Linked DNA regions of Rattus norvegicus. The protein of the gene in region 3 purifies or fractionates together with the protein of the main gene of each other region. This does not show direct contact. Links are inferred from orthologs where the notes say so. Each region holds a gene or a part of one and is shown on either strand. Other genes may lie near its edges.

The links.
Region 1: the proteins of Cbx5 (region 3) and Ehmt2 purify together in Homo sapiens (affinity purification with mass spectrometry; 3 studies listed by BioGRID and IntAct, with this or other methods). This does not show direct contact. The link is inferred for Rattus norvegicus from reciprocal best matches to the Homo sapiens genes CBX5 and EHMT2.
Region 2: the proteins of Cbx5 (region 3) and Mecp2 purify together in Homo sapiens (affinity purification with western blotting; 3 studies listed by BioGRID, with this or other methods). This does not show direct contact. The link is inferred for Rattus norvegicus from reciprocal best matches to the Homo sapiens genes CBX5 and MECP2.

Annotation. Positions count from the first base shown.
Region 1 is NC_086038.1:3,927,158-3,930,780, forward strand, and holds part of Ehmt2 (histone-lysine N-methyltransferase EHMT2), read right to left. Parts: intron 3,396-3,623; coding exon 3,291-3,395; intron 3,195-3,290; coding exon 3,040-3,194; intron 2,944-3,039; coding exon 2,776-2,943; intron 394-2,775; coding exon 249-393; intron 66-248; coding exon 1-65. UniProt on the Homo sapiens protein: Histone methyltransferase that specifically mono- and dimethylates 'Lys-9' of histone H3 (H3K9me1 and H3K9me2, respectively) in euchromatin.
Region 2 is NC_086039.1:156,940,665-156,943,972, forward strand, and holds the end of Mecp2 (methyl-CpG-binding protein 2), read right to left. Parts: intron 2,549-3,308; coding exon 2,198-2,548; intron 1,697-2,197; coding exon 595-1,696; 3' UTR 580-594; downstream 1-579. UniProt on the Homo sapiens protein: Chromosomal protein that binds to methylated DNA. It can bind specifically to a single methyl-CpG pair. It is not influenced by sequences flanking the methyl-CpGs.
Region 3 is NC_086025.1:136,226,770-136,230,518, forward strand, and holds the start of Cbx5 (chromobox protein homolog 5), read right to left. Parts: upstream 2,350-3,749; 5' UTR 2,307-2,349; intron 2,163-2,306; exon of another isoform or gene 2,159-2,162; 5' UTR 2,059-2,158; intron 577-2,058; 5' UTR 531-576; coding exon 394-530; intron 1-393. UniProt on the Homo sapiens protein: Component of heterochromatin that recognizes and binds histone H3 tails methylated at 'Lys-9' (H3K9me), leading to epigenetic repression. In contrast, it is excluded from chromatin when 'Tyr-41' of histone H3 is phosphorylated (H3Y41ph).

The DNA of each region.
Region 1 (3,623 bases), on a different chromosome or scaffold from region 3:
CATCGGATGCTTAGCTGGCCACACAGGCAGTTGGAGCTGGAGCAGTCGTCAACACACGTGCAGTGCTGGGCGGGAAGGAGTGGTGTGAGTGAGAGGGCTCTCCCCTGGAGCATGGGTTCGTTTCAGGACGCTGGCTGGTGACGGTCCCAGCGAGAGGGGGAGTCTTCATGTGCCCCAGTGTGGAGGGACTCCCACATCAGGCTCCTTCAGCCCCTGCTCCCTCGAGCCCGGTGGGGCCTGTGTCTCACCTGCAGGTGAGTGATGTTTCGGTCGATGTTCATGGTGGACGTTTCACAGTTCTCGGAGATGTACTTATAGTCCTCTGGGCATGGCTCCCCATCCACGCCATTGACACAGGGAATGGGCACATTCTCATAGCCTCGGGCTACATCCCTACAGAAGGGCAGTAAAGTTAGGTAGGGGCCGGAGCATTCCTGAGGGGAAGCTCAAGGATTCCTCCGTATAAGGGTGCTGGGGTGGTGGCACCTTTAATCCCAGTGCATGCGGTGAGACATTCTTGAAAACAAAAAAAGGGAAGTTAAGACACCAGGGAAACAATCTCAGCTTAGAAATAATTATGTCCTCAACATCGCACAGGTTATCTTTGTTTCTTGGTGAGGCCCAACAACATTGTGCATGTGAGGCCAATAAACACTCTACTCCAGCCCCGGCCCCGGCCCCGGCCCCTTATATTCCTCTGTGAGATACAGCATCATATAGCCTGCTGGCCCCAAATAGCGAGATAGCCAAGAATGACTTGGACTCTTGACTCTCCTGCCCTAGCTCCCAAGTGGCTAGGATTAGAGGTATATGTCATCACCCTGCTGGACTCTGGACTTTTAAATTTTAGTTGGAGGCTGAGCCTTGGTATAATGCCTCGCTTGGCTGGCCTTAAAAGTGAGACCATGGCCTTCCCGCTTCCTTAGTGTAGCACTGACACAGACTGCAAGCACCCAGCTAGCACAGGACGCACTAGTATTCCTGCTCACCTGAAAAAACATTTTCTCATTTTACGTGTTAAGAATACTTTGCCTGCACTTCTGTATGCACCCCACATGCACGCCTGCTGCCCGCAGAGGTCAGAAGGAGGCATGGATCCTCTGGGTCATGGATCTGAAGTTACAGATGGCTGTGAGCCACCCTGTGGGTGCTGGGAATTGAACTCAGGACCTCTGGAAGAGCAGCCAGTGCTCTTAACCGCTGAGCCATCTCTCCAGATCCCTTTTTTACCCCCCCCCCCCCCCCCCGGAGCTGAGGACCGAACCCAGGGCCTTGCCCTTGCTAGGCAAGTGCTCTACCACTGAGCTAAATCCCCGACCCCCTTTTTTAACTTTTTAACGTGTTGCCTCTTCCTTCCTTTCTTTGAGACACTCTCATTCTGTAGCTCTGGCTATCCTAGAACTCAGATCCATCTGCTACTCCTCCCCAGTGCTAACATTAGAGGTCACAGTCCTTTCTGGCAGAGTGATGCACTCCTTTTAATCCCAGCACTAGGGAGGCAGAGGCACAGGGATCTCTGTGAGTTCAAGGCCAGCCTGGTCTACAGAGTGACTTCCAGGACAGCCGGGGCTACACAGAGAAACCCTGTCTTAAAAAAAAAAAAAAAAAAAAAAACCTCTCCTCAAAGACAGTGAACATTCCTGGTGGCCTCCAACCGCTCCCTTCTTGAGACAGCATCTCACTGTGTAGCCCTAGAGCCCAGAGATCTGCCTTCGCCTCCCTCCAGAGTAGTGGATTAAAGGTCTAAACCACCACGCCTGGCTTGAGGACCTTTCGCGCTCACACAGGATACAGTGTGGAATTAAGGTCAGAGGGCAACCTTCAGGAGGCAGCTCTCTCCTGGTGGGTTCTTGGCTTGAACTCAGAATGCACATTCAGTAGTTGGGTTGCCTCACACTAGCCTTGCGGGGTTTTTTGGTTTGGTTTGATTTTCCTTTTTAAGGTCTGAGTCTCAATAATAACAAATACTGATCTCCAACCCGTGGGCTCAAGAGGCAGGTCTTCCTCCAGCCTTCAGAATAGGAGGGGGTCACAGGTGACACCCAGCTCCTGTCTGAAATTCTTTTTTTTTTTTTTTTTAAAAAGCTTTATTTATCTTATGTTTATGAGCGCTCTATCTGCATGTACACCTGCAGGCCAGAAGAGGGCGGAAGATCCCCTTTCAGATGGCTGTGAGTCACCATGTGGTTGCTGGGAATTGAACTCAGGACCTCTGGAAGAGCAGTCAGTGTTCTTAGCCTCTGAGCCATCTCTCCAGCCTGTCTGAAACTCTTATTTGGGTATCTGCCTCAAACTCACAATCCTCCTGCCTCAGCTACCTCTAAGGCTTGGAAAACATGTCCTTTTCTTTATTTTTCTTACATATTTATTTATTTTTCATTTATTTTAAGAAAGATAAGGTCTCACCATGTGGCCCTCCTTGGCCTGGAACTCACTAATACATACAAACCAAGCTGGCCTCAGGTTCAAAACAACCAACCGTCTGCCTCCTGCGTGCTGAGATTACAGGGGTGGCCACCACACCCTGCCTTTAGCTTTTTTCAGGTGTGCGACTGTGCCATGCTGTGTGTTCGTAAGCCAGAGAAAAACATGGCTCTCCAGGGACTGCACTCAGTTTGTCAGGCTTGGTTGCAGGTTCCCTTGCCCACTGAGGGCCCCTTATTTCCACCTCCCTTAGAGGCAAGATGATTGTAGGAGCTACTGGGACGTCCTGCGTCTGGCAAGGGGCCTGAGACTGAAGACGTGGAGGAGCTGTGGCATCTGGGCTGCACTCACCGGCAGATGATCTTCTCGGTGCGGACAGCCCGGTTCCCTACCCCGAGCCTAAGCTTGCGATTGAGCTGCAGTGCAAACCACACATCGGAGCGCTCTGGGGTCAGATCCCACGCCGTGTCCCCTTCTTTGTTCCGAAGCTCAGGGTTGGCTCCACGGGACAGGAACAACCTGAGAGGGATAGAAAACCTGAGTCAGAGACTGGACAGTGGGGTGTGGGTGCCGGGAGTGGGGTGTGGGGAGGTGGGTCCGGAAGCTGGGGCTTACAGAACGCAGTCATGGTAGCTCTCCCTGGCGGCTATGTGCAGGGGCGTGTCCCCGTGGTAGTTGACAGCATGGAGGTCGCACTGGGCATTCAGGAGGACCTCGGCAATAGCGGCACTACCCGTGAAGGAAGCCCAGTGCAGGCAGATGTTTTCCTCCTGTGGAGGTGAGGGGCAGAGATCGGGTTGCAGGTGACAGGATCGGGGTCCCCCTGCTCCCCACCAGTCCCCCCAGCTCCCTTGAGTGCCCCTCACGTTGTCGGTAAGGGTGACGTCGGCGCCCCGGGTCAGCAGCATACGGATCACGTCGATGTGCTTGTGCTCGGCTGCCCAGATGATGGGTGTCCAGCCCCCACTGTCCTGAGGGACGGAAGGAGGAATGGAATCAGGGCCCAGACTTGCTGGCCAGAAAACGGAAGCTGAGGGGCACCTCTGGGAACAGCCAAAGCCAGAGCATGGGGCATTCCACAGATGCACACCCTCCCCACCCAGGCTCAGCGGGGTCCTCGCTGGATGAGCTCAGAGGTTAAGAGGAGGGACTCAAGTTCCATGAACCAAAGAAACGAGGGAAGCAATGTGAGCGGTGGG
Region 2 (3,308 bases), on a different chromosome or scaffold from region 3:
GGTTGGTGTGGAGCCAGACTTGTGCTACCACAGTTGGAATTACTGGGGCGCAATCACTTGCCAACTCTATAGTCTTCTCCCAAGAGTCCTATATAGTTTCTCCTGCGTCACACCTCCCAGTCCCTCAGATTGGGAGTTGGGGTGGTGTAAAAGTCAGGGAAGCTATGGACAGGGCATCAGTGGCACCAAAAATGGGAGTGTCCTCTCAATTGCCCTCTCTAATGAGCACACAGGGGATAGGGGTGGGGTGAGGAGGGAGGGGGTTGTTGTTGTGGGGAGTGCCTGGTCAACAGCTTGTCTGGTCAGTAGTATCTGCAGCAAGCCTTGTTGAAGGAGCCTAGTTTAGAAAAGTGCAAAGCTACTTCTGGCCCTGGTTAGGTCTTCAACCTGACTGTGCTTGTCGGTAAGAAAAACATCCCAATGCTCCAACTACTCCCACCCCGAAGCCACGAAACTCTAAGTTTACTGAAAGAAAAAAAAATATTTTTTATTTCAGTTAATCGGGAAGCTTTGTCAGAGCCCTACCCATAAGGAGAAGAGACAACAGCTGCCTTTATTCTTGTTGGTTTGCTTTGCAATCCGCTCTATGTAAAGTCAGCTAACTCTCTCGGTCACGGGCGTCCGGCTGTCCACAGGCTCCTCTCTGTTTGGCCTCGGCATGGAGGATGAAACAATGTCTTTGCGCTCTCCCTCCCCTCGGTGTTTGTACTTTTCTGCAACTGTGGTGGTGGTGGTGGTGGTGGTGGTGGCGGCGGCAGCAACCATGGGCTGAGTCTTAGCTGGCTCCTTGGGGCAGCCATCGCTTTCCAGTGAGCCTGCTCGGGGCATCTTCTCCTCTTTGCAGATGCTGCTGCTCAAGTCCTGAGGCTCAGGGGGGCTGATGGGGTCCTCAGAGCTCTGAGGCTCAGGTGGGGGTGGAGGTGGAAGCAATGGCATGGGGGCCTTTGGGGACTCTGCGTGATGGTGGTGATGATGGTGCTCCTTCTTAGGTGGTGAGGAGGCACTGCTGCTGCGCCCCTTGGGGCTGCTCTCCTTGCTTTTACGCCCAGGGCTCTTGCATGTCTTCAGTCCCTTTCCACTCTTCTCACCAAGTGTAGACACCAGCAGGGGCTTCACCACCTCCTTGACCTCAATGCTGACGGTTTCCCGGGTCTTGCGCTTCTTGATGGGGAGCACAGTCTCCTGCACAGACCGTATAGAAGATTCCTTCACAGCTTTCTTTTTGGCCTCTGCAGCAGCAGCTGCCACCACACTCCCAGGCTTTCTACCCCGTTTCTTAGGAATGGCCTGGGGGTCAGCTTCAGCTTTTCGCTTTCTGCCAGGGCGTTTGATCACCATGACCTGCGCAGATGTGGTAGCCCCACCTCCCTCACCCTTACCCCCAGGTGATGCTTGGAAAGGCATCTTGACGAGAAGTTTCCCAGGGCTCTTCTCCAGGACCCTTTTCACTTGAACACCTTCTGATGCTGCTGCCTTTGGTCTCCCAGTGCCGCTCCCTTTCGGGCGTCCCCGACCCCTGCCAGTTCCTGGAGCTTTGGGAGATTTGGGCTTCTTAGGTGGTTTCTGTTCTCTCCTGGAAGGGCTCCCTCTCCCAGTTACAGTGAAGTCAAAATCATTAGGGTCCAAGGAGGTGTCTCCCACCTTTTCAAAATATGCAATCAATTCTACTTTAGAGCGAAAGGCTTTTCCCTGGGGACTGTAGAGACAAACAGAGAGACAAACAATAGTCAGAAGCTTTTTGATAACGTAGAGACTGACTTAGAAAATGTAGTACTGACAAGCTTTCTTCTAAGACATTGTAAATGAACAACAAACTGAAGTGCTAAAATTATTGGAGGGCACACCTAGGTCAGATGCATAGTAGAAATCATGTTACAGCTTGCTCAGAAGCCAATGCAGCTGAATCTGAAAACAGAGGACCTGCCCACTTTCAAGCACACTTCTCTGTACTTCCTGCTTCTCCACAATACTGAAACCAAACGGGTGAGGCCTGGTACTTGGTGAACATTGGGCTGGGTCCAATCTGTTGGTTGGTACCCAGACTTAACCCAACACCAACACATTTCTGCATTTTAACCAAGGCATGATGTCCAGCCTCTTTGGGAAGCCATTTCAGTGCAATAAAGCTTTTGCATCCTAGCCTTCCCACCCACCTGGCCTTCCCTGTTCTGTAGACACAAGACTTGCTCTTACTTACTTGATCAAATATACATCATACTTTCCAGCAGAGCGACCAGACTTCCTCTGTTTAAGCTTTCGCGTCCAACCTTCAGGCAAGGTGGGGTCATCATACATAGGTCCCCGGTCACGAATGATGGAACGTCGCTGTTTGGGAGAAGCAGAGGCTTCTGGTACTGCTGGGGCAGAGCCTGAGCTTTCTGATGTCTCTGCTTTGCCTGCCTCTGCTGGCTCTGCAGAATGGTGGGCTGAAGGCTGTAGTGGTTCATGTTTGCCCTCTTTGTCTTCCTTCTTGTCTTTCTTCACCTTCTTAAACTTCAGGGGTTTCTCTTTGAGGCCCTGGAGATCCTGGTCTTCTGACTTTTCCTCCCTGAAGTATTAAACAAATATGTAAGTATTACAGAGAGCATAGCTGTCTGCACAGTAGTGAGTATAGGTGAGCTTGAATGCCACACATGAGACCCCTGGCTGCTGCATACTCTCTCTGATTTTGGTAACTTCCCTAGGACAATGTATCTTTGGGCCAAGCTGGGGCCCAAAGATTTCTTTAGCAGCTTTAGGTAGTTGGTGATGTTGGTCAAACACATTCAACTTTTATCATACTTCTCCAAACCCTAGTTCTAATGCTCTTAAAGTGGCACATGTTTTTTTTTTTTTTTAATTTTTTTTCTGGAATATAAGCACTGTAGGGCTGGCTTCTTAACATACCACTGTCAGAAGTCAGTTTGTAAGTTGCACCTAATGGCCCCTTGGGCTTGCCACATGACAAGACAAAACATGTAAGATAAATAAAATAATACAGCAAAGCCAGAAAAGGGCATTGGATCTCTTGGGACTGAAGTTACAGATGGTTGTGATCCACCCTGTGATTGCTGGGAAATGAATCCAGGTCTGCTGGAAGAGTAGCCAGAGCTCTTAACTTCTGAACCATTGCTTCAGCCCCCTGACTTTCCAATTCAAAGCAAGGACTGCAGCAAGAGATTTCAGCAGTGTAAGCCCCAGTTTCCTCATCTCAACATTAGATAATATAATCTCATCCCTGATGCATTCTTTTTGTGAGAATCATGGACAAAAGGCCCCAAGGTACTGTATAACTATTGCTAACTCAGTCAATTAGCAACTGCTGCCTA
Region 3 (3,749 bases):
GAGTTCCAGGACAGCCAAGGTTACACAGAAAAACCCTGTCTCAAAAAACATAAAAAATAAACAAAACAAAATGGCAAAAAAATTTAAGTTATAATAATAAAAAAAAGAAATTAACCGAGGTCATTCACCTGTATCTTAGGGGATGGAACAAGAATCTGGTCCCACGATATCTAGCTCCCAAGTCTGTGTTTCCAACCAATTCCTTAAACTACTCTTCAAAAGTAAAACCATTAAAGTATCAGCTCCATAATAGGGACAGTGTGTGGTCTGCTGCCTGTTTTGATTTTCATGACAGTATGTAAATGGAAAAAGACAGATTATGGCTCATGGACAAAGAAACCAAAGCTTTCTAATCTCTACAAAGTCTTAAAGACTGAAAAAGAAAGCACTTACTCAGAAAAGCCTTTCCACTTCAGCAGATACTCCACTTGCCCTTTAACCATGCGCCTGTCCAACACCTTTTCCACCACATACTCCTCCTCATCCTCTGATGAAGAGCTGTCGGCTGTCCTCTTGGTCTTCTTTCCCATGTTGGGTATGTGTTGGTCCACCTAAAGGAGTGCGGCCACCAGGTTCCTGAAAAGGGGGAAAGATGAAATGGTTTAATCTATCTGAGGGTTAAAATTGTCTCTTTGTGATGGAACAGAGGATATAACACCAGTGAGACACTTATCCTTCTCTTTGATCTACAATTATTATATGACAATGCTACAAATTTAACATGGGTCAATCCACACTTCTCTAACAACTTCTCTTCAGCTGGAGATCAAAATTATTAGATGGAATAATTGTTTCACTCTTTAATTTCATATTCCCAAAGAGCAAACAGCATGCATGTTACTCCTGACCATTTCTACATCTACTTGTGAGCCAGGAACTCAAAAAGAAATATGGAAAGCCTTCAATTAAAGAAACAAAGAATAAAAAAAATCTTTTTCCATCAAGGTGAATAAAAGACCCTTTCCCCCCAATGCACCTGAATTTAATTTTTCTATACTCTGAACTCTCAGGATACACACACACACATCCTGCTTGGGCCATCTCTCACATTTCCATTGAATTGGTACATTTCCCTTAAACAATTTGAGCCTGTCCTTTCAGATTATCTATCAGCTCACAGAAGCAAGGCTGACAGCTCAAACATACTAAGTCTTCTTTTTAGCAAGCTCAGTTGGGGATAAAAGGGAAGAGGGGCAGAGAAAAAAATTTCAGAATTACTCACTGGACTAGTCTGTAATTCCCAGAGCTCAACTAACCTAAATAGTTCAGGAGGTACCTTGTCTCTTAACTGAAGTTGACTTTGGGCCAAAGGAAGAGGAAGGAGAAGTCTGGCCCCAGACTCTGCATCAACATGAAGCCTCCTAAGAACACAGAGGACTTATTCATCAGCCTCAGGCCCCAGAAAAGCCACAGCAAGGCAGCACAAATGGAAACTGAGTTAAGCTCAGAAATATGCACATCAGGAGTGCTCACAGAGAATCTAGTTTTTAAAATTCCCACACTGTTGTTACCATAATCATTTTAAAATAATTCTTTAACAATGTTAAATGGCACCCATAGTCTGAATTACCAAGTAGCAAGAATTGATTCTCAGTTGACTCCATTGTTATTTTGCTATAATCTCTAAAGATATTTTTCAGAACATTCCCATCTTGGCCAGAAAGCCAATCTCAGAAATAAAAAGGGCAGCTAATCTTAAAATCATGTTCAAGTCAAAGAAGCAGAAGTTGTATTTAACAATTTATTTAAATTATTAATTTGTAAGAAATTATTACAAAAATAAAGTGTTGAAAATCCTACCTATAAAACTGGTTAGCAAATAGGTATGCCCGCCTCAAAAACTGCTTATATTAATTTCTGACCTATGGTAACTTTATTTGAGAAAGGCTTGGGGGAATGTAGTTAAGGGGTTTTGAAATAATCTTTCCATTTATTTAGAAGACTCATAAACATCAAAAAATATATAAGGTTTATTTAAAATAAACACAGCCTCCGACCTCACCACAGACAGGAAATGTCATATTCCAGGGAGAGTACCCCACCCCCACCCCCACTCACCTTGGAATTTCCGGGAGCTGAGCACTTTAGGTCAGAGCGCTGGGTTAAAACCAGCCCCATGTTGGAAGCATGCAGTTAAGCATTGTGGCTATGGCCTTCCCTGCCTCACCAGGAAAAAAAAAAAAAAAAAAAAAAAAAAAACAACAAGGATTTACATATGTGTTCTTCAGTTTGAGGAAGAGAATTTTTTTCTTTATACCTTTATGTTGAAGAGAAGCCCTCAAAGTAGATCAATAGGGGTTCCCTACCTTACCTACCGGATCGCCCCAGTTCGTTCTTTCCCTCTGGGCTAACAGGAGGGGCCTCCCCTCCCAGGTCTGGGGCTTGGCGGGCTGGCAGCTCCCCCGCCCCCACCCAGCTGCCTGGGCGCCACTGCGCAGCTGTCCCAGTCCGTTGCCATGACAACTGGCAGCCGTACTAGACTAAGGGGGGGAGAGGCAAATGAAAAAGTTAAAAGGCTTAACTTTCCTTTTCACTGCAGACTGGGTGGAGAAGTTGGAAGGTATCTTCCCCTGGCCCCGAGGCTAAGGCTTTCAGAGCTCAAGGGAGTTAGGTTCTTTGTTTTAAAGTCCAAAATTTAGGCTTATTTCTCTAAAAGCGCTGTGAATTAATCAATAGCATTTTAGGACCACCTAACAGGATTATCGCTCACTGGAAGAAGGGGAAAAGCAAGATTAGGTACTACAACAGATCAGGACAATCAACCCTTTATCTAGAATCATTCGGGACAAAGGCTTTCCCATCATCTGTCCAGTTAATTAAAATTGCTTGAGGGGGAAAAGTAACAGGAAAGGGAGAGGGAAAATATTTTACTATGTAACATCTCTTGTTTGAGAGAATTACAACAGAACCCAAAGACTTTAAACAAACAATGACCAGGGATCAAGCTTTGTGATTTTGGGAGCTGATTATGGAAACCAGGGCATTATACTGTTGTTTTATTTAAAAAGCAAAACAACAAACCAAACAAACAAAAAACAAAGAGCCAGGATATGTTTGATAGAGCCAGGTACGGTGAGGTGGGAGGGGGTGCCTCTATGGGCCCAAGCTAAGGCATCCCTTCCCCCTGAGGTACCAGCCATATAGTATCAGCTAGAGTATGGAACAGAGTTTATTTAGGGCATGGGAAATGGAGTTGGGAAGGGAGTTGAGAGAGAGAGGCAGGGAGGGAGGGAAGGAGGGAGGGAGGGAGAGAGTGAGGAAAGGTCTGCCAGGAACAAGTGGAGGGAGGGGGAAAGGGAGAAAGTGGTCAGGGAGAGTATGAGAATAAGAGCAAGAGAGAGGAGGTGGCAAGCAGCCCCTATTATAGTTAGCAAGGCATACCTGGCTGTTGCCAGGTAACTGTGGGGAGGAGGAGCCTAGAAGAAATGCTAACCATACAGACTACTGAGCTACACCCCCATACCACCAAAGGAAAAAAAAAAGAAAAAGAAAAGAAAAAGAGGGCTGGAGAGATGGCTCAGTGGTTAAGAGCACTGACTGCTTTTCCAGAGGACCTGAGTTCAAATCCCAGCAACCACATGGTGGCTCACAACCATCTGTAATGAGAACTGATACCTTCTTCTGGTGTGTCTGAAGACAGGTACAGTGCACTCATATAAATAAAATAAATAAATCTTAAAAACAAAAAAGAAAAGAAAAGAAAAAGGAAAAAACCCTTTCAACTGAATTTACAGATGGGAAAAATTAGT